4 linked regions of the Arabidopsis thaliana genome follow. The protein of the gene in region 1 interacts with the protein of each later gene in a pairwise test. Each region holds a gene or a part of one and is shown in the gene's direction. Other genes may lie near its edges. The genes, in order: AT1G01910, AT4G31830, AT1G80890 and HCC1.

Evidence for each region.
Region 2: the proteins of AT1G01910 (region 1) and AT4G31830 interact in a two-hybrid assay, tested with the Arabidopsis thaliana proteins (one large-scale study listed by BioGRID).
Region 3: the proteins of AT1G01910 (region 1) and AT1G80890 interact in a two-hybrid assay, tested with the Arabidopsis thaliana proteins (one large-scale study listed by BioGRID).
Region 4: the proteins of AT1G01910 (region 1) and HCC1 interact in a two-hybrid assay, tested with the Arabidopsis thaliana proteins (one large-scale study listed by BioGRID).

Annotation. Positions count from the first base shown.
Region 1 is NC_003070.9:311,803-320,792, reverse strand, and holds AT1G01910 (P-loop containing nucleoside triphosphate hydrolases superfamily protein), read left to right. Parts: upstream 1-4,702; 5' UTR 4,703-4,961; coding exon 4,962-5,216; intron 5,217-5,777; coding exon 5,778-5,902; intron 5,903-5,990; coding exon 5,991-6,141; intron 6,142-6,241; coding exon 6,242-6,352; exon of another isoform or gene 6,353-6,567; coding exon 6,568-6,706; intron 6,707-6,797; coding exon 6,798-6,913; coding exon of another isoform or gene 6,914-6,921; intron 6,922-7,033; coding exon 7,034-7,198; 3' UTR 7,199-7,639; downstream 7,640-8,990. Other genes in the region: AT1G01930 (zinc finger protein-like protein), read left to right, coding at 1-24, 336-413, 497-541, 648-752; AT1G01920 (SET domain-containing protein), read right to left, coding at 1,286-1,421, 1,497-1,589, 1,692-1,807, 1,980-2,228, 2,360-2,497, 2,592-2,648, 2,753-2,814, 2,948-3,028 and 8 more; SBTI1.1 (subtilase family protein), read right to left, coding at 7,782-8,990. UniProt on the Arabidopsis thaliana protein: ATPase required for the post-translational delivery of tail-anchored (TA) proteins to the endoplasmic reticulum. Recognizes and selectively binds the transmembrane domain of TA proteins in the cytosol.
Region 2 is NC_003075.7:15,398,114-15,404,703, reverse strand, and holds AT4G31830 (uncharacterized protein), read left to right. Parts: upstream 1-3,478; 5' UTR 3,479-3,598; coding exon 3,599-3,901; 3' UTR 3,902-4,100; downstream 4,101-6,590. Other genes in the region: PGR3 (proton gradient regulation 3), read right to left, coding at 1-1,684; ENODL15 (early nodulin-like protein 15), read right to left, coding at 2,278-2,627, 2,723-2,906.
Region 3 is NC_003070.9:30,393,921-30,400,981, forward strand, and holds AT1G80890 (GAG1At protein), read left to right. Parts: upstream 1-3,207; 5' UTR 3,208-3,290; coding exon 3,291-3,441; exon of another isoform or gene 3,442-3,863; coding exon 3,864-3,955; 3' UTR 3,956-4,290; downstream 4,291-7,061. Other genes in the region: AT1G80870 (Protein kinase superfamily protein), read left to right, coding at 1-291; AT1G80880 (Tetratricopeptide repeat (TPR)-like superfamily protein), read right to left, coding at 1,274-2,303, 2,409-3,001; MGT1 (magnesium transporter 1), read right to left, coding at 4,369-4,599, 4,686-4,733, 4,828-5,289, 5,360-5,950.
Region 4 is NC_003074.8:2,723,186-2,731,442, forward strand, and holds HCC1 (electron transport SCO1/SenC family protein), read left to right. Parts: upstream 1-4,007; 5' UTR 4,008-4,099; coding exon 4,100-4,255; intron 4,256-4,338; coding exon 4,339-4,551; intron 4,552-4,650; coding exon 4,651-4,741; intron 4,742-5,176; coding exon 5,177-5,389; intron 5,390-5,468; coding exon 5,469-5,558; intron 5,559-5,629; coding exon 5,630-5,762; intron 5,763-5,995; coding exon 5,996-6,104; 3' UTR 6,105-6,471; downstream 6,472-8,257. Other genes in the region: AT3G08947 (ARM repeat superfamily protein), read left to right, coding at 1,469-3,268; AT3G08960 (ARM repeat superfamily protein), read right to left, coding at 7,220-7,381, 7,480-7,549, 7,677-7,733, 7,813-7,919, 8,135-8,257. UniProt on the Arabidopsis thaliana protein: Thought to play a role in cellular copper homeostasis, mitochondrial redox signaling or insertion of copper into the active site of COX. Plays an essential role in embryo development.

The DNA of each region.
Region 1 (8,990 bases):
GAGGAATCTCAAGCTGCCAAGCAGGTACTTGCATTGGTTTGTTATTTGTTGAATTTAGAAGTTTGGTTAAGGATTCCGCATGAGGCAAAATAGGACTAGTGCAGTTAGTCCTTTCATTGCGCATTGGGATTTTAGGTTGAGCTCTATCCCGGAGTTAATGATGTATGTGTGGTCATGTGTTAGAATCCGATGACTGCCAAATACTATATTAATTGGTGTCGTATATATTTGTTCTGGCATGATTTGGTATATGATTTTCGGAGACATGTGGTTGCATATGGGAGTCTGAATCCATCATCAGACTAACTTGATTCGTGACGGTGATTGTTGTTCAGGCAGAAAAAGACGCCAAGCAGAAAGCAAGAACAAAGGAGTTGAAGAAACTACGCAAAGCCCGAGAAAAGAAGGCTCAGGTAACGTTTTGAATCAGGGTCTATTTTTCAAACAAAACTCGGATTAGTAGAGACTTGTTATCTAACCCTCCCTGTGTTTGCAGGCCGAAGCTGCGCAGGCGGAGAAGGAGAAGCCAATTTCTAAAGTGGTTAGCTTCACAAACCCCAATTTGTATAATCTGATCTCAGTCTGATATTTAAGGAGAAGCCATGTCAACATTTGCTTTGTCTTTGGTGTAAATCTTGTTGTAATAGGAGGAAGTGAGGAGAGCAATGGCAGCACAGAGGGAAAAGAGAGCAGCCGCTGCAGAAAGACGGATGGCATCACTTAACATTCAAAGCAGTTCAAGCACAAGTTAATTTCCAACTTTTTAGTGAGTTAGGTAAAAGAGGAGAAAGTTTGAAAAACAAGAAGTGAGTATCATCATTAAAGTGCACAACATTACCGACTCAATTATTAGGCCACACACAAATTTGTTTTTAGAAGGCCCGTTTAGACCACAAACCGACTTCTCAATATTTCCATATATATATATATATATGCATGAAGCCTTGTTTTCACATCAATAGTGTCTCGATCCAGAGTTGCAAGTTTTTTTTTCTTTTTTCTTAAGGATCAAGAAAGAGTAGCGGCACTAAATATGAGTAAATGAGTAAATGGCGTGGTGCCATTACCGAATCTTTGCAAATCCTATTGATTTTGCACCAGATTTGATTTAGATGAAAAGATTTTATATTGGTTTAGCTAAAAGATTTGGGTATTACTTTAAAATATATAGACCGTTAATTTGGTGCCACACACTAATAATTGTTATATCACACAATTTGCTTATTTAGCCTTTGAAATGGATATGTTTAAAATAATCTACAATAAAACACCGATGAGATATCAGTCAATGGTCAGAGGAGAGAGCTAAGTGAAGGGCATGCTCTGCCTCCTTCAACAACAGTCTTGTGAGCTGCTTCTGTCCTCTACGGTACACTACACTTGACCACTTGTTTCTGCTCATCCTTCTCCCATCCAAGTCCCTACCACAAAACATATTTTATAAACATTTTTAATCAATATCTAAACGACATGTCCACAGATTTTTTACATTGTACCTCGATTCTTCATGGCTCTCTAAGACGCACGCCTCCTCAAGGAGCCTAGCATCTTGTTCTTCAGTGCCAGAATTCTCTTCCAGCTTCATCATCCTGTCAGGACAAAAAGCATTGAGGTCTGTAATTTTCTTCTCATCCCACAGACAAACATCTTAGTTAGCCCTTAAGAATCCATGTTCAAATTCAACTGCTTACTTTGAATTAAGGAGATCCACAAGTAACTGCAAAGCTCCAGAATCCCCACATGCTTCCCATACTGCCATCCTGACCTCAGTTTCAGAAGGTTGCTCGCCTTGTCTTGACTCAACAAGCTTTTCAGGAAAACAATACTTTTGTCTCATTATCTAGTGGAAGACAAACTGTGGATATTTATGATTCCGCCTTCGTTTCCCAAGTTACTACTTTCACTCTTTCAGAGATGGAGATTTTTTGTGTAGGATATGGGTTTCAGATGTCAGAAGAAAGAAAAAACGGTGATCATACCTCTTCAAGCATAGCTGAGACCTTGTAAATCTCTTCTTCTTGCATTGCAATGGTCCTTAAGCCAGTCATAAAATCTTCTGGGAAAACTAGTTTGTTCATATATGTGGGCATCTTACGCTTCCCAGACCAACTGAAATTACAGGATCTCACTGTTTCCTTCTCATCACTTTCTCTAATTACTGATGTGGTTCGTGGGAAAAACCCATGATTTAGGACCGATTTTGGCAAGAGACACCGGAGTTGTGCATTCTGCAATGATATTTTTTAGAGTTCGACAGTTACATATTACATGGAAATAAATGTATTAAAGAGCTACATTGTCTTATAGGGTCTATAATCAAAACTTCGGGTAAGATAGTGCGAAGACTTGTACTGCTAACCTGAGCTTCAAGCAGCTGCCCCTTGGAATCAGAAAAAGGGATACTCGGAATTGCCTCAACAGGATAATGTACCTGAATAAATCCATTGTTAAACGTAACAACAGATGTGAGAACAAAATTGACGAGCATCTCCTTGATCTTGAAAGTTATGTTTCTCGTCATCATTCTCAAGACTTCTATAATACATCACTGGTTGAAAAGGTAGGGAACTGTTGATGGATGTAAATATTACCATGAGATAATCATCTGGGTTGTTATCTATCACAAAGCCATACAGGTAAAGAAGCTCCTGCATTCAGCAAGAAGGCACATCACTCAAACAAAGGGCTAGATGTGATTTTTTACCAAGAGACAAGTTATATAGTTGTACAAGATAGCTGCAAAACATCTTACCTCATTTCCTTTGTTACCATAACTGATCGAGATCTCCTTCTTTGGGATAGGACGTTGAGCAACTGCTTTACAGAATTGTAGCACTTAGTTTTCCGCATACAGATCAAAAAGAAGAGAGGAAAAAGAATGTTCTGTATTGTTTGATTGAAAAATTGTAGAAAGCTGAGAGGTAACACAAACAAATATTTGGCCAACCAGAGAGAAGGTACATGGAGAAAGGAACCCTAGATACTGATCCGATCCCATCAACTTCCCAAGTCGCCACAGGCTTCAAATCTATACTGCCATAACCATAGGTCATTATATCACATCACACTGGGATATACTCATTAACCATATCAACATTATGGAACGGAGAAACTGATAATAGAGTCTTTTTGAAACAAAGATTGGCATACCATGGTTGCAAAAGTCAATGCCAGGAACAAGCCCCTCAACCCATATTGTATCTCCGGATCCTACAGATGGCGCAGGTTGAGCCTGAATTTCTACCCATCAGAAAATGAAGAAACCCATGAAATTGTCGTTACATGATAGAATAATAATAATTAAAAAAGAGGCATTTCACACAGAATTCAGCAGACCGACGTTAATGACTTGCCTTTTTCCTCATTAGAATTAACTGGAGCCGTTTCAGGGGACTCACTTGTTGATGTGCATTCCCCGGTATCATCTTGGCTTTGTGGAAACACGAAAGAATGTGGAAGAGGAATATTCAAGGCGCGACTCCAGAATACAGAGTTTGCCCTGGCATAATTGAAAAAAGTCGCAAGATCACTAAGCAGCCCTTTACAAGACACAAAAGTCTGGTTCTACTAACAAGGAATAACACCAGTACCAAACATACCAGAGGAAGTGTTCAAAGGAGACCTTGCTGCACGAAGAGAGAAAACAAAATATGATTATCAATGAACAATAATTTGGTCTAAAAGTAGTGTAAATATGTCAACCTTTCGGAATCGCCATCCAAAATAAGAAGCTTTGTCACCAGGACCTCCACCTTGTCATGGTAAAGCGAGAGCAACTTCTTCTTCTGAGAATGAATACACGATGGTTATTGGGTTTAATAAATGAAAAGAGAAAATGTGGTTGCTATTTTAAGGACGATATGATAAGACAGGAATAAATGATCAAGATTGAGACCTGTAACTCGGTTGCGTGATACAAGTTAGTCCCTTTTAGCTCAAGGATGTCATCATCAGAAAACCAAAGAGGATTGCCAAATCGAGTAGGAAGCATATCAAGATACCTATCATATCATTTCTAGACAGATGAATACCCTTAAGCTTACGTAAATGTGTGCTAAGAGATTAAAAAAAAAACTTACGGCTTCCAAGAAGAATTGATACGAAGACGCTCCAAAGTGAGGAACAGAATCATGAGAAAGCGGTCATCAACTTGTCCTTGTTCGAACATTTTCTGACACTCAGGGCCCAGGAGAGGGTCCTGAAGAACTCTCATAGGGGTAATGGCCAGATCAAGCGGAACAACAAGCAAAACTTCTGAAAATTTCCAGAGCTGAATCAGAATTCAATATCAACTTTCCATACATATTCCCCGGAAAAAAACCCAGCAAGAAATGGTAAGAACAATACTATACCATCGGAAGCTTGAGTGGAGGTGGAAGCGAATATGCCAAATCCTTTTAGGGAGTCAGAATATTTGATGTTGCAGCCTCTTAATTCACCTCCATTCACCTGAATGAAATTAGATCGAAACACAAAATGCCATGATATAGAGCAGCAGATCAGGACTGAAAAACAACACTTAATCCGGATCTAACCTGAAGCCAATCTAGGAACCTTTCGAGTTTGGCTTCTTCTTCTGAAATCGCCATATCCTCCGGCGAAGATCAATATGCCGGCGACGGGTTTAACCGAGTAGAGAGGGGTTTTCAATCGTAACTCACAATACGCTGTCGTAATGGCTTCATCTATGTGGGCTTTTGTATGGGCTTATTTAGCGTTTATGAACTTAAACACACCAAATTTAAATTTTTAACAAAAAAAGAAAAATTGAACAAGTGAAAAACGATAACCAAAAAAATCAAACCAAGACTGCTGTGATATCCCAAAACCGAGAACCAAAATATTGAACCGGGCGGCGTTAAAAGTCTCTCGCCGCAGTTAAACTCTTCCGTACGCCAAATATCTAACAAGGAGCTCTTTAGATTGAGACTAGTGGAAGAGAGACGAGCAAGGAATTAGCAATGGCGGCGGATTTGCCGGAGGCGACAGTACAGAACATTCTGGACCAAGAGTCTCTTAAATGGGTTTTCGTCGGAGGTAAAGGAGGTGTTGGGAAGACGACATGCAGTTCAATTCTCGCAATTTGTCTCGCCAGTGTTCGATCCTCCGTTCTCATCATCTCCACCGATCCTGCTCACAATCTTAGTGATGCCTTTCAGCAACGCTTCACTAAATCTCCCACTTTGGTTCAAGGTTTCTCTAATCTCTTTGCCATGGTAAGCTTTCTCCGATTTTGTTCTAGATCGTGCTAGATTTTAGAGGGAATTTGGTAGTTTCGCTCCTGGATTTTAATCTCATTGGGAATTAGGGTTCTCTGATTCACGAATTTCAAACCGCAGATTGATGGATCAATTTTGATTTTGAAGTCAGATTTAGTACTTGCATAAATACGGTTGATTTGTGCCTTTCTTATCATATGCCCACTCTGATTTTGGGGATTAGGTTTGGAATTTGGACGCCAATTTGTATTCTTGATACGGAAGGGGATTGTGAAGAAGATTTGATGTCCCCAAATCAAATCGAATTTTTGTCTATTGTAGTTAAAATTCATGGCTAGTTATGCCAAATTCAAAAAAAAAAAAAAAAGTTGTTTTTTGTGGTTCTGGGTCGCCTCTAATAGACAGGCTTGATGATGACTTTATGGCTACTCTTCTAAGCTTGAAGCTCTTAGTTGTGTCTGTGTGTATATGTATATATATACACATACTATAAGCAAATGGTTACGATTCACACTCCTTCCCTCTTGATAGTGAGTGAATCTTGTTTGCTTTTCTCAGGAGGTAGATCCTACCGTTGAAACTGATGACATGGCTGGTACAGACGGGATGGATGGTTTATTCTCTGATTTGGCAAATGCGATTCCTGGAATCGATGAGGCTATGAGTTTTGCTGAGATGTTGAAGTAAATAGCCATTTAGTTCTTCTAGTAATCATCTGCCTTTATCCATGTATTATCACAGTCAAATTTTGATATGTTTATGTTTCCTTAGGTTGGTGCAAACAATGGATTATGCTACTATTGTGTTTGACACTGCTCCTACTGGACATACTCTCCGCCTGTTACAGTTTCCGGCCACACTAGAAAAGGGACTTTCGAAGTTGATGTCATTGAAGAGTAGATTTGGTGGCTTGATGACTCAGGCATGTCTTTAAGCTTGTCAAATTCAGTTTGCTTGGCAACAGATATTGCTCTTTGGTTTCTTCTTTGGCTGATTTTTCATGGAACTGATTGGTAATGCAGATGAGCCGTATGTTTGGCATGGAGGATGAGTTCGGAGAGGATGCTTTGCTGGGAAGACTTGAGGGCTTGAAAGATGTGATTGAGCAAGTAAATCGGCAATTCAAAGACCCGGTAACATTTTTTCAATTGTTTAAGTTCTTTGCTATTTTCAGTACTCATTGACTGTTTTCTTAACTCTGTTCGTGAAGTTTAGTTTTAGATTCTTCACATTGTTCTGTAGCATACGGTTTGACAGCATTCATTTGCATTAGTGAAAATTCTGATACATATCTAACAAACTCTGCATTTTAAGATAAGAAATTGACACATTTGGCTCCATTACGTAGGATATGACTACGTTCGTTTGTGTCTGCATCCCCGAGTTCTTGTCTCTCTATGAAACAGAGAGACTTGTTCAGGAACTCGCCAAGTTTGAGATTGACACGCATAACATTATCATCAACCAAGTACTATACGACGACGAAGGTGCCTATTTATTTGCTGTCGTGTCTATCTTCTCGTTTTGAACTTGTTTTACATACAAATTTGACGAATTATCTACACTTGTCTTCTGTAGATGTGGAGTCCAAGTTGCTCAGAGCAAGGATGCGGATGCAACAGAAGTATCTTGATCAGTTTTATATGCTATACGATGACTTTAATATCACAAAGCTTCCTCTGCTTCCGGAAGAGGTAAGAACGCATGACATTCAATATAGATGAGAAGGAACATGATCAAGACGAAAATGAAACTAAAGCCTTATATAATATACATCCTGAGATTTACACTTGTTGTGGATGTTTGGATCACAGGTGACAGGGGTTGAAGCCTTAAAGGCGTTTTCACATAAGTTCTTGACGCCGTACCATCCTACCACTAGCAGGAGCAATGTAGAGGAGCTGGAGAGGAAAGTACACACATTGCGTTTGCAGTTAAAAACAGCTGAAGAAGAACTCGAACGGGTCAAGAGTGGCTAAAGATAAGGCTCTGTTCTTCCCTTTAATTGTAAGTTTCTTTCCTCGCCATATTCTTGGAACTCACTTGCTTTCTACATGGGGGTCTTCTGGATCTGCGTTGTCATTTGGGTTTATTGTTGTTTATGTTTTGAACAATTTATAGGTGGAAAATTAAAACTGAATCTTTTTCTCTCTAGTTCTTCATCTAGCAACAACTCTTTATAGGACAGGAAAGAAGATCAAGCAGAATCTTCTTTTGCGTTGTTTTATTGTTATGCATTGGATTTGTTTTTATATTTGTAATAATCATGACTACATAGACTCATATCTACCAAGAAATCGTTGTTTTACGACTTAATCAGCTTTTTATATATTAAGTTGAAGGGTATCTGTGACAAGCGAATGCTATGATCTCTTGTAACAGCTTTTTATATACTGTAGACTGGTCTTGCAACAGAGAAGGAAAATTCATGTAAAAAAATTATAGTAAATAAGAGATGTTTTGATTTATTGACAAATTCTTACAAGTTTAGGGTAAGCTTTTGTTCAATAAGTTTCTTTGGTATATAATAAATATGAAAATGGCAATCAATAGATGCGAAATTTATTCCCACGTCACGGCGATTGGGCTTCTGACGTTGTATTTGTCACATATCCAAACCAAAACTCCAAAGGAAGACGAAGACGAATTTCTCGAAGCTTCTGCATCATACGTCACCGTATAACTCAACCTCTCTCTGGCCTTCTGGAACTTGAGCACCTTTGGTTCAACTCTCACCTTCACACCTTTTGGTTCCTCAACGTGCACCATATACTCACAAGTCGGTGACCCAACGTTAGTCACAGTCCTCTTATATCTCACCGTTTTCAAATTCGCGCCATTAACGAGGTTGACCGCGAACGAGGGATAGTTCAAATCACCGGGACTCAAAACGACGGCGTTACTAGCACACGTGTAGTTAGTGCCGGAGAACAAGAGTATTCTCTCACTCGTGTAGTTCAAGCTGCACAAGTAGTTGAGATAATCGACGGTGGAGGTATCGTATACCAGCCCGGGATCTACCGCTCGCGTGGGATCCACGTTTCCCGCTCCAAACGCAAACGCTGTGGCCGCCGATTCAGCTCCCGCGGCGCCTCTATCTCCGATCGGTCGGTTCCTATTGTCAGTGATCCTCGCCGTCGTCATGATTGCTGATTTGATCATCGCCGGTGACCAGTCCCCGTGAACGGACTTGATTAGAGCGGCGATTCCGCTGATGTGAGGACAAGCCATGGAGGTTCCCGAGATGATATTGAATTGGACGCGTCTTGGATCGGATCTGAGGAGGCTAGGGCTGCTGAACGGTGACCATCCGGCGAGGATGTTCAGACCGGGAGCCGCAATGTCCGGTTTAGCTATTTCCGGTCCCGCGACGCTAGGTCCTCTGGATGAGAACGCGGCTACCATCGGGGCGGTTGCACCATACGCGGTTCCTCTGAATCGAACGGAGGCGGTGGCGTTTGCTGCTCCGGCGAGGTAATTCAGTAAGGTTTTACCGTCGGAAAATCCAAGTGAAACGGCCGGTAAAACGTGAGGATCAGCAAGAAGCTCCTCTCCTTCCGCCTCTGTGCTCACAAGAAGCATCGCTGCTCCTCCGCTCCGTTTCACCTCTTCTCCTTTGGCCGTTCTGCCGCTGGCTCCTCTTAAGCAAATGACGATTTTACCCTCGACGAGTTCTCTCTTGAGCGAGTCCCGGATACAGAACACGGCTCCGCTTTCTTCTCCAGCTGTTCTGTTAAACGCCAAAGGCAGATTCTTTAAGCTTTTTCCTTT
Region 2 (6,590 bases), on another chromosome or scaffold:
TAAACATCTTCCACGCCTCATCTACTCTATCAGCTTTGTAAAGTGTATTGATCAAAGAATTAACAACAATAACATCAGGTTCACAACCATTCTCCATCATCTCAGAAAGCAGCTTGATGGCTTCATCTATCTCCCCAACCTTACTGTAGCACTTCATCATCATGTTATAAGTTACTGAATCAGGGACCAGTCCTATGTCTTTCAAGCCATAGAAGATTTGTTTCGCTTCTCGGTCCCTTCCCGCTTTAGCTAGACTGTAGAGAGACGCATTACAGGCTACAATGTTCGGAGCTATTCCTTTGGTTTTCATCTTCTCAAAAGTCTCAAGAGCACTGACGGAATCTCCAGACTTTCCATAGTAATCAATGAAAACTATGTACGTATAGGCAGTGGGCTTCACGCCCAGAGACTCCATATTACCAAACAGTTCAAGTGCATCATCCAACCGGTGGACTCTTAGAAGACCGCAAATCAATGTGTTATATGTATGAAGGTTCGGTAAGATACCTTGGTCCCTCATCACATCCAATGTATCAAATGCTTCACCAAAATTCCCAGCTTTGCACAGAGCATCCACGAGAATGGTAAAGGTTACAACATCAGGTACATGACCATCCTTCTCCATTTCACTCCAAAACTGCTTCACTGAATCCAGATCTCTGTTATCACTAAACCTGTCCAGCAAAGTAATGTAAGTTACACGATCTGGTTTGTGTCTTCCTGTTTTCATCTTTTCGAAAACCTCCTTCGCACAATCGAGCTTCCTAGCAGTACACAGAGCATCAATAAGAACAGTGTAAGTAACTACATCAGGTCCACATCCTTCATCATCCATCCGCTTCAGTATTTCATATGCTTCATTAATCTTCCCTGCCCTACCAAGCACCCGAATACATATCGTAAAGGTGTAAACATTCGGCTTTAACCCCAAAGTCTCCATCTCTTTAAGTAAACCCATCACAGAATCAATATCCCTTCTTTTCCCCAAACCTACCATAAGTGAAGAGTAAGTCTGCAAACTAGGTCTAAAACCTTCCAAGATCATTCTTCTATAAACCTCCATTGCCTCTGTGCAAAACCTAGACTTAAGCAGAAGATGAATCAACCCATTGTATGAATATGCATTCAACACAAAACCAAATTCTCTCATCTTCCGAAGTGCATAAGGTGCTTGCTTCAATCCACCTTTCACAGAAAGACTCTTGAAGATAGTCAAGTAAGTATTAGTATCCCTCTTTATGATTCTTTTCTGCATCAAATCAAACACATAAGCCATTTCCTCAAGTTTACCATCAACCCTCAAAGCTTCAAGCATGTAGTTACAAGTCTCAGTAGTGTGAACTAAATTCAAATTCCCAGCCACTGATTTGAAATACGAAAATGAAGAATCAGTATCAGGAAACGACTTTAAACCCCTCGTTACTTCTTCACTCGATGACAAATCAGGTTTTGAGCTCTTTCTTATCATAGAACCCGAAAAGTCAGAACTTTTCATGGAGACTACACTACATCTCATACTCTTCCTTCTCCAGTGTTTCTTCCGAGACCCAATCTTCAAAGCGTGGAACTTTAATCCTCCAGTAACCAAATTATCGCGACATTTTGCTTTGATGTTACTAACAAGACAAGCATCACCAACTGATATATCACCACACAAACTCGCAGAGCAGAGTAACGCGACCATTCTAGAGATAAGCCAAGCAAGCAAAACAATTCAATTCTCCGGCAAAAATTGAAACGAAAACAGAGATTAACGATGATGATTCATCACATTTCAAGTGGCGCAGATATAACTAACAAAACACAAACACGTGCTGAATAGCTATGAGCATTTTGATTCGTCTCCGTTCACCGGCTGAAAAGAGCGCGAGGGAGTCGATTTCGGTGAACCGGAGATTTTTGATGAAAGAATTTTCGAAGCAGAATAATAAAAAACTTGCCGAGAGGATAAAATCAGACTCGCTCCACTCGATCCTTACCGTTTTGCTTCCCTCCCAAAATATCTTTAGGCCCAATTCAGGCCCATTTTTAGGCCTCTTTTCACGACAGTCCAGGTTTCTTTGTGTTGCTGTAAATTACCTTTTTGGGTACTAAATTCAAAATTCTCATTCACTTTTGTTTTGTTTTCTTTGTTGATTGTTGATAGATCCAACTAATTTATCCAGAATTGAAAAAGAGGAAGAACAATTTAGATTAAAATAAATTTAATGTAGTAAATAACAAAGATTTCTACTTTATATTCCAAAATTAATAAATAGAATTAAGACTAATTGTCTTTTAAAAGAAGAAGGCCCATAATCCAAGAACAAGCCCAAATACGACACTAAATCCGCCGGCGAGCTTAGCGGCACCACTAGTAGGAGCTACGGCTGGACCGTCGAACTCAGATGGCGAAGGACCTGGAGAGAAAGCAGAGTTACGAGGAGTGATGACGACTAGGCGTAGCTTCTGACCCTTTTGACAATGACCCTCTGTTCCACTGACGAAGTAGACCGGACCAGCTTGGTCAAGCTTCACCTTTGTGTTCCCGTCGGTGTAGCTGGCTTTAGGGCTAGTGGTGTTGCATTTCTCGTATGCTTCTCGTGTCACTTGCAAAACCGAGTCTTTACCGGCTTCGTACTTGAATACTGTAATAAACATGTGACGATGTCAGAAACAGAGTATATTGAAGATCACACAAAATGTCTAATTGAAAAAAAAAAGTTGAAAATTATGGATTTACCGATAAAGTCGCCGACTTTGAAGCGAGCCTTTTGAGCCCATTCGTTAAAGGAGAAAGAAGAGGAAGGAGGGATCTTCCAGTCACCGGATTTTCCACCGACGGTAACCTCATTTGCATTCACGGACGAAAAGAAGAAGACAGAGATGCAGAGGAAGATGGTGACCAAAAGAGAAGAAGAAGCCATTGATTAGAATCTAAAACCTTAAAAGTATTAGAGTGTGTAATGTGTTTTAAAGTGTGTTGAGGATGGAGAGAGTGTGGATCTTGTGTGGTTTATATAAAGGTAGAGGACTTGGAAACTAGCCGTTTAGGAATTACGAAAAATTAAAAGGAAAAAATGGTAAATGTTAATGTATCCGTTGGAGAGATGATAAAGGCAACGTAACGGTTAGGATTGAGCGACAAAACTTGAACTCTGATAGAGAAAGTGATTTCACGGTCTTCTAGGAAGACTGGTCAAGCTAAGCTGTTTCTGTTTTTTGTTTTTGTACTTTACTTTTTGTTTGCTAGTGGGAACTGGGTTTATTGGGCCTTGAAGTTGATAAAAGATGAATAAAAGACATATCGCCTAAAGCCCATATGAGAAGCAGAAGACAAAAACCTCCAACTTTGGGCATAAATTTTGATTATAGTTAAAAGTCCAGACCCAATTTGGCACCTGGCTTAGTTACGATTCTAAGGCATGACACCTGCCTAATATGTTTATTACAGAAAATAAAGAGAATCAGCTAGGTGTCCCTTATTGAACACATTAACAAACTCCAACGACACTACGTGTCTTCGTGACTCTTACTATATCCAAAAACCTATAGCTAAAGCTGAATTTTCCATGATTAGTATAGTCCCAACCAAAAAAATACTGAAGAAGGCATAAGCATGGCCGGAGAAGAAGACTGGAGAAAAACAGCAGATACGACGAAGATGAGCTCGGAGGGAGTAAAAGCTGCCGGCGTTGAGTCATCAAAGAGGCCGCCAGGAAGTAATCCAGGTGGTGTTCTTCATCAACGCCGTAACTTGCCATACAGTTACACGACGATGGCTCTAGCCGGATTAGCTATCTCGGGGGCCATCATGTACACTGTTATGTATGCTAAGAAGAAGCCGGAAGCCACTGCCACTGATGTAGCTAAGGCTGCCACAGGGACGGCTAAACCTGAAGATACACATCCAAGAAAGTAAAATTTCAAGGGAAGAATTAAAGGGTTTATCTTCTTCTTCTTTTTTTGCTTTTGTAATTTTGTTCTTGCTTCATGCTCTTGTTGGAACTTCTTATTTACTTGTAATAAAATAACATAACGTGTCCAAGAATGGCTTATGTCAACTACTAGAGCAAGCAGAAGAATAAAATGGGAGGAATAGAGTAGTCTTGTGTAGCAAATGCATGCGTATAATTTAGATCACCGAATCCTCTACATTTCTCTGTGTTATGTCGCTTAAAAGTAGGGCCATTATTGTGGGCTTCTTTTGCGTATTAATATTTTTGGGCCATATCCTAAAAGATGTGTAGAGCATCATCATGCATGGCATTCAAAGACTACAAATCCGGTTTTGCAGTCTTTTGATATGACTTTGATTACGTTTTTATATTTCCAGTCTTAATGAAAAATAGAAAATTCCAATTGTTTATGGAATTTATTCAGTTTGGTTTTGATTTAGTTTTAGGGTAAATTCTCTAACAAGAAAACTCAATTTGAAAATTTCGAACGGTGTGATTATTTTGAATCGGCAATGTGGTCTTGATTACTTACTGTCAAGTGCCAAATAAAAGTTTAAGGAAAGAAATAGTAATTTTTTAGTCAACTACAAAATAATAGCAAGTTGATTCTATGAGACAATTGGTGATTCGCATGTCTTTAAAAAACGTTGATTGGCATAAAATAAGATCGTAACGTTATAAATATGAAAAAATTAGGTGAGTCCACTTAATGGCCCAGAAAAGTAAGTGTATTGACATAGGCTGTTAGGTAGAAACACTCATGTGTTGCTTTATGAGCATAAAACCTGGACGACAAACTTTTTTTTCTCTCCTCACCAACTGCACACATTTTATTTATAAATCAACATTTTCGTCTTTAAATTAGGCTGATCATCGTTTACTTTCTAATCAATTCTGATAAAACATTCAAAGTACTACTACTAAAAGCTTCAGTTCAAGTATCCACTACTTAGAAACATATCTAACGGCTCGTCCATAAGCCATAACTCATGACTAACAATTAAATATCTAAAATCTTCACTTTCCAATTTTTCAATAACAAAAAGATAGAAATTCAATGACTTAAATGAGATTTTGCATAAGTTTGGTATGTAACGTCATTAGAATCAACTCTCTCACTCGTAAATATTAATTAGAGCTACAAATTTAATAGATACGTACATTATATATATACATTGTTTTGTGCAAAATAAAACAAATGGCCACGTTATTTTTTACTTGGATAATAGGGTTTGTGTACTTATTCCTCAAACCCATATGATAACATTTCGTCATTTGGCAAATACAGCTTACTATTACGAAACTCACACCACTATTACAAAACATCCAATTGAGTCTTCTCCATATTGGTGGAGTCTTCTATCATTTTATTTCATGATGTTCAAGAAGAAAACAATAAGATAAAGATAGACCTGAAAACGACCAAAGTTATTCTGCGGAAACTATTTGTACATTCCAAATAATTCAAGTAAGTTTTACACAAATAAAACTAAGGGTAAAAACTAATTTTCGTCTACTTATAAAAAGGTAAAAGAAGTTAAAAAAAAAAGAGTAGGAAATTATAAAGAAATTTATGAAGAAAGGAGAAAAGGAAGAGAAGAAGCACAAGGTTGCAATTATGGAGGTTTGGACCCATAGTCAGTGTTCACCATCATTTGTTTATGATGCCTTATGCTCACGCCTGTCTATAATTATCTTTCTATTATTTTTCAACATTAAACCTTTACTATTAGTCGTTTGACGTTAAACATTCATATCTCAACGATCAAACAATAAAAAGCATTCTCATCTCAGAACCGAAATTTGGTTTCGATTGGATTGACTATATTCTCCACGGTTCGATTAAATGTGAGGTTTCCGGATTGTCGTCTTAAATTATTCACTAAGAGTAATCGTTTGTGTTATAGGTATATGCCATGCTTTTTATGTTCTCTATGACATAAAAATACAAACGCAATACTATATTGACTACAGTATATTCCATCAATTCTCTGTTTAGGGTACATATTCATTTGATACCATTTGCAGTCTTCCAGTCAATTTATTTTTGTCATTTGATGTATTATTTATTGGGAAAAATGTTGAAAAATGCGCCAACTTTCAAATTTGGGACGAAAAAAGCATGAACTTTCGAAATGTCATTTAAATCTCAAAGTTTGAGTTGGCTTATTAAAAAATGTCTAAGTTTCGTTGACGTGGTCATTTAAGGCATGCCGTGAAATTTGCGTTAACAGAAAATTAACGGAGTCAACTTTCCGTTAACAGTTCAAAACGACGTCGTTTTAAAAATTAAAAATAAGAAGAAAATCGGACACAACCTAGTGTCAAACCGACGATTCCCTGCAGCTGTAATTAAGCCTTCAACCATGGAGCTACTGTAAACCACGGAGCTACTGTAAACCATGGAGCTACTGTAAACTTGTAACAACATTGATTGAGCTTATATATATGTAACTAGTTGAAACTAATAGAACTCCATTGTTGCCTGAGAAGAAAACAGCGTGAGCAGGTGGCGTGGAATCACGTCAAATATGAGCGTGAGGTTGAGATCGTGTGGCTCGTCTATGTCCAATGATGGTTTGTTTGGGGAGAGTACCGTTCTCGGATTTATACAATTGGAGATCCGTTTAATGTTGTCGATTTCAAGTATTG
Region 3 (7,061 bases), about 30 Mb from region 1:
ATGAAGCTTGAAAAAGCAAATTTGGTGAGCTGGTGTAGGCAACTGGCTCAGTCAGGGAACGTTCTTGAGCTGGTCGACGAGAAATTGAAGGATGGGTATAACAAGGAAGAAGCAGGATTGTGCATTAACTTGGCTTTGGCTTGTCTGCAGAAAGCTCCAGAGTTACGGCCTGATGTTAGTGAAGTTGTGAGAATCTTGAGAGGGGAAATGGACATTTCCTCCACTGCTTTCGAGTTTTCTCCATCGCCACCGGGAAAAGTTTACGGCAGTAGATCGAAGCGGAGAAGCTAAAACAGGGCAATGCAGAGTAGTAGTTCGAGGTTTGATATGATCTTTTCATTTTCGAAATTGTTGGATGTAACTTGAAAGAGTTTTAGCTTTTGAGAATTGTATTATGTTGTAATTTTTGTAAACTATATATATAATTTAAAATCTTATATATAAATATTTAAACTTTAAACTTTTTCGATTGATTAAATAATTTTAGATAAATTGTCTTATTTTCTTAACTATACCTAATATTTTTGTTTTTTAAGTGTTAAATTTTAAATATGTGTAAACTAATTGATTGTCCAATTATGTTTATTTAGAATTTTAACACCTATTTCATTTATCGAAAAACGTTTTTAGTTTTTAGTTTATACTAATTTATATATCAATATTTAAAAGGTTTTTCGATGTTTTCCATACTCTTGATGGAGTAAACTGATGGTTCCTTGAAATGTGGCATGAAAAAATTGCAACACATAAAAGAATCCAAGGCCATAACATTCATCATTGGTTCACGAGTCACAGAATACAAAAATATTATATAAGAAAATGAAGTCCAAGGACAAAAGAATACAGAAAAGGACACAAATAGACTATGAGAGAGCTCTGAAGATCTTGCCTTGGAAACACAGTGAGCTCAGCCTTTGCCTGTTCTGCAGTCTGGCTCATATCATAACACATTGAACTTTAACTTCTTGTAACTTGAACGTGCAGCGATGCGTGGACGTGTAACAATCAAGAATCACACTAGTTTTTAACGTCTATCATGTAATCCGGAGAGAGATTCCTGAATCAGCATGGCTGCAAATGATTAGTTTTGCAGATTCATTGATATTAGGAATATGCAAAGGTAGCGATCAGCAAATCTAGTAAACTGACGAAAAGATTACCTGGAAAACTGCACGGCGGATGTAGTGAAAGAGTGGAGACCGTGAGGTTTGAGAATTGAGTCATTATTTCAGTGATCGTTTGATGAGAAACTTCAAGTCTTACCCCTATCTGATTATTTTCTGTCTACTGATCGTTGACCCTTGTAGCCTTCCTGAGAACCAACTTTTTGAAGATTCATCCTCTTGCTTTTTCTGACCCCCTTCACCTTTTGCTCCTCAAGAAGTTTCTGGAGCATAGGATTTCCTACGAACCCCTTTGATTTCATCTCTGAATAGATCTCTCTGGCCTTTTCAAGCCACCCACATGACAAAAGGCCCTGTATTGTAGCCAAGTAAAGAGCAGGATTAGCCACTATCTCAAAACGATCCATTTCTGCCCAGATCTTCAAAGCATTTTCTGGTTGCTTTCCCTTGAACAATTTTCCAAGAATAAGAAGAAAGGTCTCTTCTGTAGGACCTAAATCAGAGATCTTCATTTGGCCTAAAACCTCTAAAGTTTTCTCGAAATTTACAGCCTCAAGGAATGCATGAAATGTATCAACTGTTGGACTAAGGTTCTCACTAATCATGGTTGCCAATACATTCCTGGCTACGTCCAGCTTTCCAGCCTCACAAAGGGGGCGTATCATCGAGTTGTAGGTCACTGAATCTGGCTTTAATCCTTCCTCGTTCAACTTTTTCATAAGCTTCATAGCTTCATCAAAGCAATCCTCACGGGTCAACACATAAACCAAGGAATTGTAAACTTCAATCCCTGGAGCCAATCCCCGTTTCTTCATTTCATCGTATAGCCTGAGAGAATCAAAAAGGTTCCCAACTTTAGAGAAGCAAGAGATCATGTGACTGTAAGAGTCCTTGTTAGGCGTGATACAGTAATTCCCCATCTCTCGCCAAATCCTCTTTGCTTCAGTCACATCAGTCCAAATGTTACACCAACCATTAAGAATTACGTTGAATCCCTCAACATCCACCGGAAAGAGCTTTTTGCTTGCAAGCATGAACTCTTCAGCTTTTTCAATGTGGCCATGTCTACACAATGCACATAGCAATCCTTGAAATGCTTCATCATAAGGAGTGTGTTTAAACTTATCCATAATATCAAATGTCCGAATAGCTTGGCTAGTATCATTAGCAGCAGCATATCTACATCAACACCGTCACCAAGACAACCAATTCAATACCTAGCTAGTAAATCTTTCAATTTAGCACAACAAAAGAGAAACTTTTATCAAGAAGACGAAACCGAACCTGTCCATCATGAGAAACATGGCCTTTCTAGTATCCTTTGAAACATTAAACATATCACGGATCAAACACCAAGCAATGTTGAACTTTTGATGATTACCCAACACCCAGATCATCAAATCACAAGATTTCTGATCATCACAGCCGCGTTTCTCTCCCCATTTGAATGCTAGAAAGGCAAGCCTCCATTCATCTCTTAATTCCCAGATTAAGGAGTAGAAAGAATCATGATTTAGATCAAATGATGAGTCCTCCAGAGAAGCCATGGCATCCGCCTCTGACTCCAGCTCAGAGACCTGTCTGATTAAATCAATCAGACCCTTTTCTAACGGAGCCAATGCTGTTAAGTTGATATCAAATGTTTCGGAGATGGTTTTGGTGGAGAAGCGATTAGAAGAGGCAAAATGTGGGAGATAGCTTAAAACTTGAGAATGCACATGACCTGCTCGATGAAATGCTGAAGAGAAGGAATGATTTTGGGAAACTGAGCTCGAAAACGACGTCGACACTGCACGACGTAGCAGAGATTGATGCTGAACAATCCGCCATTGTGGCGTTCGCGCGAGTTTCCTACCAATGGCAACGATCGCGGCCATAGCGAGTGAGTGAGAAGGCTTAAATTAATACATTTCAAACATGGTCTTAATGGGATGAGGATATGAAGTTAATGGGGTCAAAAACGAATATATAGATAATATGGGGTCTAATATGGTAATAAACAAAGTAACACTAATATGAATGGGCCTAAATAGGGCCCATTTTAGATTTCTTTAAAAGATCCGAGAGAGAGAGGGATCTAATTCCTGATAAACCCTAGAAGAAGAAGAAGAAGAAGAAGAAGAAGAAGAAGAAGAAGAAGAAGAAGCAAAACCTGTGGAGATCGAGATGGGAAATGAGAGCAAGAGCAATTTGGGAGGAGGAGGAATTAGGGCAAAGATGGAGCACTATGTCTACAGTGGGGAGAAGAAGCACGTTTTGGCTGGGATCGGGATTATCTCCATCATCTTCGGAATCCCTTGGTATCTAATGAATCAAGGTTCGTTTTCTCTGGGCGATTTAGATTGAAATATATAAATAGATGTTTCTCTGTAGATTCCGAAATGGAAGAGGATGATGATATCAATAGCTGAAAGATTTAGAATCTAAAGTTTCTAACTTTATATTTCTTGGCAAATGCAATCAAGTGGTCGATCAAATAGAGTTTGATTATATGATAATGATGAGTCACAATGTTTATTCTGTTTGGATCATAATAGACTTGCATGATCACATTTTTTACCAAGTTTGTTTGCTTTTTCCCCTGATGATCACACATCGATTCAATTGCATAATCTCAATGGTTAAATATCTTATTTGCTATATGTGACATTTGGTAATATTCTCCTTGTTTTGTTCATTATATAGGCTAATTGTTTCTCTTATTGGCTTTTGTTGTTTGGTAAATCTGGTTTGTTTCAGGATCAAAGCATCGTTCTCACCAAGATTACTTGGAAAAAGCTGATAAAGCTCGAAAAGCTCGTCTCTCATCATCTTCATCCTCGGATAAGTAGTCATCTCCCCCCACTTGGATGGAGACTCTAGTCAACTACATTTTGTGAATGGATCCATACATCATCGTTTCCATGTCTATAAACTCAGCCATGTCTGTTCTAGAGTGTGGTTCAGTTCAGATATGTATCTTTACACTCTACACTTAGGTTTCTTTATCGAAGATATGTAAATTTGCGATAAGTTAAAGGATTCATCCTTTACGATACTGTTGTGTGAGCTGTGAGTTTCGACTAGGACAATCCATAAAGTGAAAGATCAAGATGAGTCTGGTATGGTTTGCTTAATAATCTTTCAGTAACCCAAAAAAAAAATACACGGGGTTTTATCTTGTAAAGGTCACAGGCGATTAATGTATAGATTTAAGCAACATAAACAGTAAAACAATCGTCTACGTGTCAGGGTAGTTATGTCTTCACAGAGGCATGAGTCTTCTACGTTTGTAGTACCAGAGGAATGCCAAAAATACAACAAGGCCACACACTCCAGTAATGGCTAAAACCCATTTGAAAGCACCAGGCTTTTCAAAGAAGTCTATCTCAAAATTCATCCCAAAGATCCCGGCTACAACCCCGAAGATGGCTACAACGAATGTGGCAGTAGTTAGCAGCAGCTCGAATTGGATCAGCTGATTCCGTACGTTATCCTGCAAATTCCAGAAATTTTCAGCAGATTCTTAAGGTTTTCTAAGCAAATAAGATATCTAAAAAAGATCAAGATTTCAAGGTATACCAATTGAATGTTGATGAAATCTTCGGTATCATCGATGTACTCCTTTAACTGAAGAGTAAAGAGAGTTGCAGGTGATTAAACCGCTTTTAAAAGCTGTTAAAACAAGATGATGAATGATCACAAAGGCGAGGTTTTTAGTTACCGAGGTTAGCTTGTTGAGAGTGCTGTCAATGACAACAAAGTATGCTTCCAGCAACATCTCTAGCTCCTCTATATTCTCGGTTGCGTCTTCTGAGCTCCTAGCACTGTCATGCCGGCTCCTTACAATGCTCAAGCTTTTCTCAAGTCTACGGGACTCAGGAGGAGAAGAAACAGGAGAAACTGGCGCAGACAGAGAAAAACAATCATTTGTTCGATAAACAGGTAAAGATTGATCACCATATAAAGATCCTTCCATTCTCTTCTTCTTCTCTGTTAGATACATTTCTGCCATATCCCCATCATCGTCCATTAGCTGTTCAATCTCATCCCGAACCTTCTGAACTCGTCTCGTCAATGCTACAAGTCTGCTCTTTAGTCTACGAGCACGCTCCAAGTTTAGAGTACTGATCTTTGAGGTAAGCTCATCCAATAATGGGTATGCCTCAATCTCTAACTCTGAAGCCTACAAAGGGAAAATCTATTCTCAATGCTGAGCATACTAAATAACAATAAGTTGTGAATCAATCACTGACCTGGGAATCAAGGAAGGTACAAGCAGCTTCAAGTGCAACTTCAAGAGCCCTGAACTCGAAAGGTAAATAATCAGGGGATGAGTTCTGAAGCACATTGTCTAAACTCCTACTCCTCCTCCTGCTCAATTCGAGACTGTCCTGATTCCAAACCTCAGTAACAGAACTTGCCTTTAGTCTCTGCTGCAGCTCAACAACATAGCGAAGCACATAGTTGTCAAGGGAATTCAAGAGCAAAACCTCATCCGCAGTAATAATACAACGGATCTGCTCTAAGTTAACAACAATAGCCTTCTCTCTACCAAGAATAGTTGACGGATACACAAACAAAGGATCAAGCAGCCTTAAATCCCGTGCTGGTAAATCACATCTACGCATCATAGTGAACTTATCAACCTCAATGACCTGAGAATTGGCAGAAGTATCAACACGAATCCACGACTTAAGGCCTTGTCCACGCTTCTTGAGACCCAAAACATCAACTCCAAGGAGTGGTTGTCTCCCTGAAGGAGAAGGACGAGAGCCTGCATCACCTCTAAGGTTAATAGCCGAAGCAGGTCTTGGAGGAAGCAAACGCTCTTTGAGTTCAGACATTGTTGCCAATCTCCAGATACTACAAAACCAGGTAAGTATAAGGAATGAAATATAAAAAGAATCTCTTCAAGGTCTATTTGATAAAATAAATAAAAAGTCAAGAATAGAAATTTCTCCAAGCAGGATCGTCTTTCAAATACCAGAAGCGAAGTAATAAATACAGACTAATCTCTCTGATAAAAAATGGAAGCTTAAGAAAGCATACATCACAAGGAAAAGATCAGAATACTATAGAGTGTTTCATCGGTCATATCCCACAAAATCAGATGGATCGTCCCAAAACAATAAAACAGAGACAATATATACCAAAAAGGTCGGAAATTGTAGAGAAAATTTCAATTCACACCTCCAAATTAACAATCTCCGACAAAGTAACCCTAAAATCTAAATTCGAAAGGATTGCGGAAGTGACTTGGCCGGATTCCGTCTTCTAGTTTGGTTTGAGTGAATGCGAAGAAGAAGCAAAAGTTAGAACCTTTTTTGCGTTTTGGTACTTTGTAGACGAAATCAAATTACATGTAGTGAGTAATGCAAACCGATTCTTAACTAATTTATATTGGTTGAGACTCAAATTTACCGGTTTAACGCAACTTTCATTATAAAATGCTCTAGCTATCTATTTCATTAATGTTTGTTCAATAATTTAATGCATCAATTCAATTAGTATTCAATTATTTGATCCAAGCGTGACGACTAAATGAGAGAATGATATGTGAAATCTGAAATGTTATAACCGGTTTAGGAATTATTCATAGATTGAGGAGACGAAATCAAAAATTATTCGAGTATAGGTGACAACAACGTGCGATTAGAAAAAGTAAAAATAAGGGATCATTGGAGAAGACAATGGATGACGTAAGCCGATGAGAATCTGAAGATCCTCTACGACCCGAGTCCATTTTAGATCCTAACCCGGTGACCCGTTTACCTGGTTTCCTCTCACCACCAAGTTTTGCTTCTAAAATTTTCTGGTAGATCTGAGTCCACAATCATCAGAAATCAACTTTGTGAATTGAAGGCCGATCACTCCTTTGACTTTGTTCTTAGGGTTCATCCTCAAAGGTAATCAATTTATATGGATTACGCAATTTTCTTAACGAAATTGATTAAC
Region 4 (8,257 bases), on another chromosome or scaffold:
GGGTGATTTAGGAATAAAGTGTTTTTAGCTTTTGAGCCTTGCCCTTCCACAGTTCCACACCCGCTTCTTCTCTGTATTCGAAATTGAAATTTCTTTTCTCATATCTCTCTCTCCTTCGACAGTTTCAAGTACAGACTCTCTCTCTGTCTCTGCAAACTCTAGGGTTTGGTTTTTGCTCTTCTTCGAGAAGCTTTTTGTGGATAGAATCTGCAGTGAGAGGGACGTGGTGTTTAAATTGAAGCGAAAAACCCTAGCGTTTACGCAAACCTTAATTTCCAGGTAAATCTCTTGCTTGAACTGTGTATTGATCTCTGGATTTGTATATCTGTTTATAGATCTATGCTTTCGGATTAGGTTTTGGGTCACTAGTACTGCAGGGTTTTTAACTTTAGTTTTTTACTCGCTCGCTGTGATTCTGCCACTTATTTGTCTCTCTTCCTTCTTAGAAATTGAACTCGTGTTCTTCACGACTAGGAGAAAAAGCTTTTTCCGAATTTCATAGAAAACGCTGGGTCATCTTTGGTTCGGATTTCATATTGGGTTTGTTTTCAATGATTTTTGTTGTCAATTACACCAAGCAGAGATTCTCATATAATTTTCTCGGAGTATGGATATATTTGCTCATAATGTTCAAATGCTCTTGTTTGTACCATCTGATTGAACTTGTTGACCGTTTGTATAGTATTATTGCCTTTTATACTTGTACCATTACTTTGTTCAGTAGCTTTCCCTTTTTTTTTAGAATTGTGCTGATTTTGTTCTATTAACCCCTCTTTTTTTTTGCTGATTATGGTGAATGTCCTTGTTGCGCAGAGACCAGAATGGCGATGGAGATCACACAGTTTCTGTTGGCTGCCCAGTCAGCCGATGCAAGAGTCCGGACTGAAGCAGAGGGTAATCTCAGGCAATTCCAAGAACAGAACTTGCCGCTGTTCTTAGTATCCTTGTCTTTTGAGCTTGCCAACAATGATAAACCTGCTGAATCCCGTCGACTAGCCGGTATTCTGCTAAAGAATTCTCTGGACGCCAAAGATTCTGCCACAAAAGATCATCTGGTGAAACAATGGTTTGCAATTGATGTTGCTCTTAAATCCCAGATCAAGGATCGCTTACTAAGAACTCTTGGTTCATCTGCCCTAGAGGCAAGGCATACTTCAGCTCAGGTTATTGCTAAGGTAGCCTCCATTGAAATTCCTCAGAAGCAGTGGCCTGAACTTGTTGGATCGCTGCTTAACAATATGACTCAGCAAGGCAGTCCCGCACACTTGAAGCAATCAACCTTGGAAACTCTAGGCTATGTCTGTGAAGAGATATCACACCATGATCTTGTGCAAGATGAAGTGAATTCTGTCCTCACAGCAGTTGTGCAGGGCATGAACCAGTCTGAAAATACTGCTGAAGTTCGTCTCGCAGCAACAAAGGCACTGTTAATGCCTTGGATTTCTCTCAGACAAATTTTGAGAATGAAATGGAGAGGAATTACATCATGAAGATGGTATGCGAGACAGCATGTTCCAAGGAGGCAGAGATCAGGCAAGCTGCTTTCGAGTGCCTTGTGTCCATTGCATCCACATACTATGAGGTGCTGGAGCACTACATACAAACACTCTTTGAGCTCACATCGAATGCTGTAAAGGGAGATGAAGAGAGCGTTTCCCTCCAAGCAATTGAGTTCTGGAGTTCCATCTGTGATGAAGAGATCGACCGTCAAGAGTATGACAGTCCTGCTAGTGGTGACTCATCTCCTCCCCACTCCTCTTTCATAGAGAAGGCTCTTCCCCATTTAGTTCAAATGTTGCTAGAAACTCTGCTGAAGCAGGAAGAGGATCAGGACCATGATGACGACGTCTGGAACATATCTATGGCTGGCGGGACATGCCTTGGCCTGGTTGCCAGAACAGTTGGAGATCATGTAGTCCCTCTTGTGATGCCTTTTGTTGAAAAAAACATAAGTTCGCCAGATTGGCGCTGCCGGGAGGCAGCCACTTATGCTTTTGGATCAATTTTGGAGGGCCCAACAATTGATAAGCTTGCCCCGATGGTTGCTGCTGGCTTGGAATTTCTCCTTAATGCAACCAAGGATCAGAATAACCATGTCAGGGATACAACTGCTTGGACTCTGAGCCGTATCTTTGAATTTTTGCACTCCCCAGACAGTGGTTTCTCTGTTATATCACCCGAAAACCTCCCTAGAATTGTGAGTGTATTACTGGAATCAATTAAAGATGTGCCAAATGTTGCAGAGAAGGTCTGTGGAGCAATATACAATCTTGCACAGGGATATGAAGACTCTGGAGCAAGTTCATCTCTTCTCTCTCCTTATCTTACAGAGATCATCACACATCTGCTTGCAGCTGCTGAGCGTACAGATGGGGCAGAGTCTAAGCTAAGAGGTGCTGCGTATGAAACCTTGAACGAGGTTGTCCGGTGTTCAAACCTTTCAGAGGCCTCAAGCATCATAGCGCATCTCCTCCCTGCCATCATGAAAAAATTAGCTGAGACAATGGACCTCCCTATAATATCAACTGATGACCGTGAGAAGCAAGCGGAAGTCCAGGCTTCTCTGTGTGGTGTTCTCCAAGTTATAATCCAGAAGCTGAGCGGCAGGGAGGATACGAAACCCATCATAATGCAGAGCGCAGATGACATTATGAGGCTGTTCCTAAGAGTGTTTGGATGCCATAGTTCAAGTGTCCACGAAGAAGCCATGCTTGCAATCGGTGCTCTTGCATATGCTACTGGAGCTGAGTTTGTGAAATACATGCCCGAGCTTTTCAAATATCTCCAGATGGGGCTGCAGAATTTCGAAGAATACCAAGTCTGCTCAATCACAGTAGGAGTGCTTGGTGACATTTGCCGTGCCCTGGATGAAAAAATCCTACCTTTTTGCGATCAGATAATGGGTCTCCTTATCCAAAACCTTCAAAGTGGGGCACTCCACAGATCAGTGAAGCCTCCAATATTCTCATGCTTTGGAGACATTGCTCTGGCAATTGGTGCTCATTTTGAAAGGTATGTAGCACCAGCCGTTCAGATCATGCAAGGGGCTGCTCAGGTGTGTGCTCAGATGGATACCCTTGACGAGGAGCTTATGGATTATGCAAACCAACTGCGGAGAAGCATCTTTGAGGCATACTCCGGGATACTACAAGGGTTCAAGGACACAAAAGCCGAGCTCATGATGCCCTACGCTCAACATCTCCTGCAGTTTGTTGAACTAGTATCCAAAGATCCCCTGAGGTCCGTACCATGTGGTTTGAAAATATAATCAATTTGTTCCTTCTGGTTTCGTTGCACATATTAAACTTGTAACTGGTGTTTTGTTATGAGAGCAGGGATGAGAGCGTGACAAAAGCCGCGGTTGCAGCGATGGGTGATCTTGCGGATGTTGTAGGAGAGAACACAAAGCAGTTGTTCCAAAACTTCACCTTCTTCGGTGAGTTCCTTAATGAGTGTCTCGAATCAGAGGATGAAGATCTCAAGGTCACTGCACGCTGGACTCAAGGAATGATTGCAAGGCTCATGCACCCATCATAAATTTAACCCTCTATTTTTTTTGCATGTCGTCTTTCCGCTTCTCTCTATCGTATCATGTGAATAGTGGTTAGTTTTTTTTTGGGTAAAAGTAGTTTAATTCCCCTCAGGCCATATCTGTTTGAGGTTGGGTCTTATTTTGTTCTCTTGGGGTAGTTAATGCAAAACTCTTTTATTGTTCTTTGGTTACTCCATTATCAATCAAAGTATCGTTGGTCGCTCTTGAGTCAACTGGGTCTTCATGAAAAGAGTTGGAACTAAGTGATAGTAATGTTAAAACTGGGGGTGGAAAGCATAAATATCTAAAACAATTGATTGAAACCGGCTTAATGGGCTTTAAATATCTAAAACTAATGAGCTTGTCGACCCAAACGGGCTTTAAACTGAACGGCAAGGTGTTTGTATAAAGGGCGTTCGCAAACCTTGCCGTTTTAATATAAACTGTGTCGTTTCACTAGAAGGTTTTATAAAGTGTAAAACCTCTTTGCACCTCTCAGATTAAAAACCTCAGCTCGCAGGAAAGAAATCAGCGAATTTGTGAACTTCAGAGAAAAATTGGTCGTCAATGGCGTCTGCTCTATGTAGAACTGCAAGCCGTCTTCGTTCCGTTCAACTTTTTCGTCGGATTCGCGTCTCCAGCGATCTACTATCGGCATCGTCTCCTTCTCCGGCGTGCATCTCCGACGCGCTTCGTCATGGAGATTTCTCTCTTCCTCGATCGGTTCGTCATTTCTTCTCCTCATCTGAATTCATTTTCTAATTCTCTTTGTTTTGAGCTCTCTAATTGCTATCTTCCTTTTGCAGTTTTTTTCACTTAACTGTGGAATCGAAATGCTGAAAATGGATCAGAGATGTTTGCTGAGTACTTCTGCTTCTGATACTACCTCGAAACATGACTCAGGTAAACCGGAAACAAAATCTTCGGAGAAAAATGAGAAATCTGGAGGATCGGAGAGTTCTGATGGTGGTTCAGATCATAAAAACGAGCGTGCTTCTGGAAAAGACGTTCGTGGAGGGGTAACTGTTTCCATGAACAAAGTCTCTCTGATTGAATTGCAGAATTAAATGGTTGTTTTGGTCTAATATTTGATTGGAGAGTTTTTGGTTTGATTGCAGCCGGTTTCATGGATGAGCTTTTTCTTGCTGTTTGCTACTGGAGCTGGATTGGTCTACTATTATGACACACAAAAGAAACGTCATATCGAAGGTACTCATCTATGGTGAGTTTCATTTTTTGAACATATCTACAAAGTAACACAAACTTGATCATGTAGAGTGTAGACTACTATTACATGATTTGGCTACATAGCTCCCATTTTCTAGTTTGGATTGTGTAATAACAGTAAAACTGAGGTGCTAGATTTCGACCGAGCTCTTAATATCTTGCATCATGTCGTACATTTTGCTAATGGAGTTCTGAAATGTCTAATTGAATACATTGTTTGTAGCTTAATGATCACAGGCCTTAGACCTTAGCAAACGATATCTGATTTGGCTAGTGATAACCTTGGCAAGATAAATGAACTTATCACTTCTATCACTGAGTAAATGCTTAGGGATTTCACATTGATTTCTGCTGAATCCCTCTTCGAGCTTATCTCGATTCTTCTTTGTATATTGACTTGGGTTCTTATTGATTTAGATATAAATAAGAACTCTATAGCCGTCAAGGAGGGGCCATCTGCTGGAAAAGCAGCCATTGGAGGACCATTCAGCCTTATAAGAGACGATGGGAAACGTGTGACGGAGAAAAACTTGATGGGAAAATGGACCATTTTATACTTTGGTTTCACTCATTGTCCCGATATCTGTCCTGACGAACTTATTAAGTTAGCTGCTGCCATTGACAAAATAAGTGAGATACCAACATTTTTTCATTTGTGTGATTCTACATTTGGAGATTTTTCCTCTAAGGTTATATCACATTTACACAGAGGAAAATTCGGGAGTAGACGTGGTGCCAGTGTTTATCTCTGTGGACCCTGAAAGAGACACAGTTCAGCAAGTACATGAATATGTCAAAGGTAGATATTTTTCATTTCGAAAGATTCATTTGGTTTTGAAATGAAAATTCATAGTCTGATACTTCTTGTAGAATTTCACCCGAAATTGATCGGGTTAACTGGGAGCCCTGAAGAAATCAAATCGGTGGCCCGATCTTACCGGGTTTACTACATGAAGACCGAAGAGGAAGATTCAGACTATCTCGTTGATCACTCTATAGTCATGTACGTGTACTTATTATCCCTTTAACATATTTTGTTAGGAAGATTATAGTTATCGGCACAAAACCCGACATGCAGACTTAGAATTGTTCATGTTCATATTCTCAAATTTCAGAATTTACATAGTTACATTTTACATAGTTACAGTGTAATGATTCATCTTGTATGTGTTCAGTAGTGTTTGATCTCTTTTTTGGTGGTTGGAGTTTTGATATGTAAACATGTTGTGGGTGAAGGTACTTGATGAGTCCGGAGATGAATTTTGTGAAATTCTACGGGAAGAATCACGATGTTGACTCGTTGACAGACGGCGTTGTAAAAGAGATCCGTCAGTACCGGAAGTAAAGAACCTTCGAAGTACACTTAGGTGATTAATATACATTATTCCCATTTTTGGAAGCTCATCATTAATAAGGATTTCTCAGAACACGGAGCTGCTTGTGTTTCCTTGAAAAAACATCAGTTTTTGTTGTGGCCGAGCATGCACACAACGGTAGTATCCATACTATAAGGGCATTAAGGGATCAATTGAGATTATTCCGATTACCCGTGTCCCATAAATTGATCACACTTCTTCGTATAGAATTTTAAGGCCTAAATTATCGGCAGTGCTTAAATGTCGAACTAAGAGGCAGTGCTTAATTACCCGTTATTGCTAAATACCATAGTATGTGTTTTTACAAAATCATCATAGTAAAGAGAGTTTACACGACCAAGGAGTAATTTGTGAAAATCTGCAATTGGGATCTAACAGTGCGTACGATCACAACACTTGTATGAAACGGTCGACTATAAAATCACGAAGCCAAGATTTATTCATAAGGGAGAATGAGTAAAAATCAGCAAGTACAACAGTACGACAGATAGAGACAAAAACTCCGACCTGTTCCCATCATATGTAAAGTTAGAGTTCTTGGGACAAAAAACAGACCGGAAATACATCGTAAGGATCTCCCTATTTTGATTCCTCACTTTTTCTTTAGTGTTGTTTGTAACATTGGGACAAAAACGTTGTATTGAAGAATGAATTGACATACTAAACTCGACCAAAGGAAAACAAATATAAGTCTCTGAAAGATGCCTCCTTTTGTTCTGTAGGGAATCATGGGCAGCTAAAAGGGAATCACCTCATCAAAGATATGTACATAGTTCATCAAACCGCCAAGGTCGCAGAGGTCAATGCAACATGCGCGCCTATGTAACACACCCATCAAATCCATAACCGTAAAGGGAAGAAAAGCTCACTCACCTGAACAGTTATGAAGTGGCGAGTCAGATCAAATGGTGAAGAGGCAAAAACATTCAATCACTTGAATACTGATGAATATAGAAAAACACAATGGAGGTTTTTTAATGAATGACGCTGAAAAGAGAGAATAACAACGAATCAGAAACTCACTTGAATACTGCTGCTCTTTAACTGATAAGGAAACAAACAATCACGAGGCAAAAACATTTATTCACGGCAGCTTTAAGGCTTGCTTCACTTGTGCAAGCGCCGATGGGTGCATCCTACTAATGGCAGAATTAAAGGCATCTCCATGAAGTGTAGAACATGTCTGAAGGTTCTCACGCGTTGAGTTCTCTAGTGACATCTGGTAGATTGGGTCGGAAACTTTTATCTAAATAAGATCCAACCCCCCAAAAAAGAAGTGTAATAAATCAGTGGTTTTGTAGAAGCTGGTTCTTCAAGAAACCCATATTTTAAATTAACTTTTACCTGACTTTTCCGTAACTCTTTGCTTGGCGGGGTTTCTTCTCCTTGAGACCTGCTTGAACTCATGTCACCGCTGGAATTATAAATTGTGTGTTTCTTAATTCTTAGTGTTGTGAACAGTTCAATAACAAATAAAAAAAGTCACTTAAAATTAATTTAATAATGTTATGTAATGTAAGTAATTAAAAAAAGTATCTGACCTTGATTCTTCTTCTGTTAAATCTTTGTTTTCACCAAGGATCACACTGGTGCATGTACTGTTTCCAGAAACGCGATAAATTATATCACAAAGATACATAAGTCAAACTGTTAATTCTCGACTGTGCAAACCTGTACCTTAGTATTAGATCAAGCTTGTCAAGAACTTGGGGCATTCTAAGTGTAAGTATTATGGAAAGAGCCAAGCCAAATGTCTTTTGTTGCATGGGAGACGCATGGTCCACCTGCACGAGTAGATGCAAGACTAAAGTGCGTCAGATAATGAAAAAGAAACATGCATTTCAACATGTAGAGCAGTTTGACAATGAGATATTGCTTAGGATTCAAGAAAAAGACCATGTAAAGACATGAAACAAGTTAATATTCCATTATCTGAAAGTTAATAGTCTAGAAAGCTATTCGAACAACCAGTAATGTTCAAGATGTGTTCTTCACTGACCTTGTCGAGCCAAATGTCGATGAGGCAAAGGAGTATATTGTCTTCGACTGGGACACCTGCCTGTTGGAGTAACACTGAAAGAGATGAATCAGATGTTAGCTGGGCCAGGTAAGTGGTGTTCAT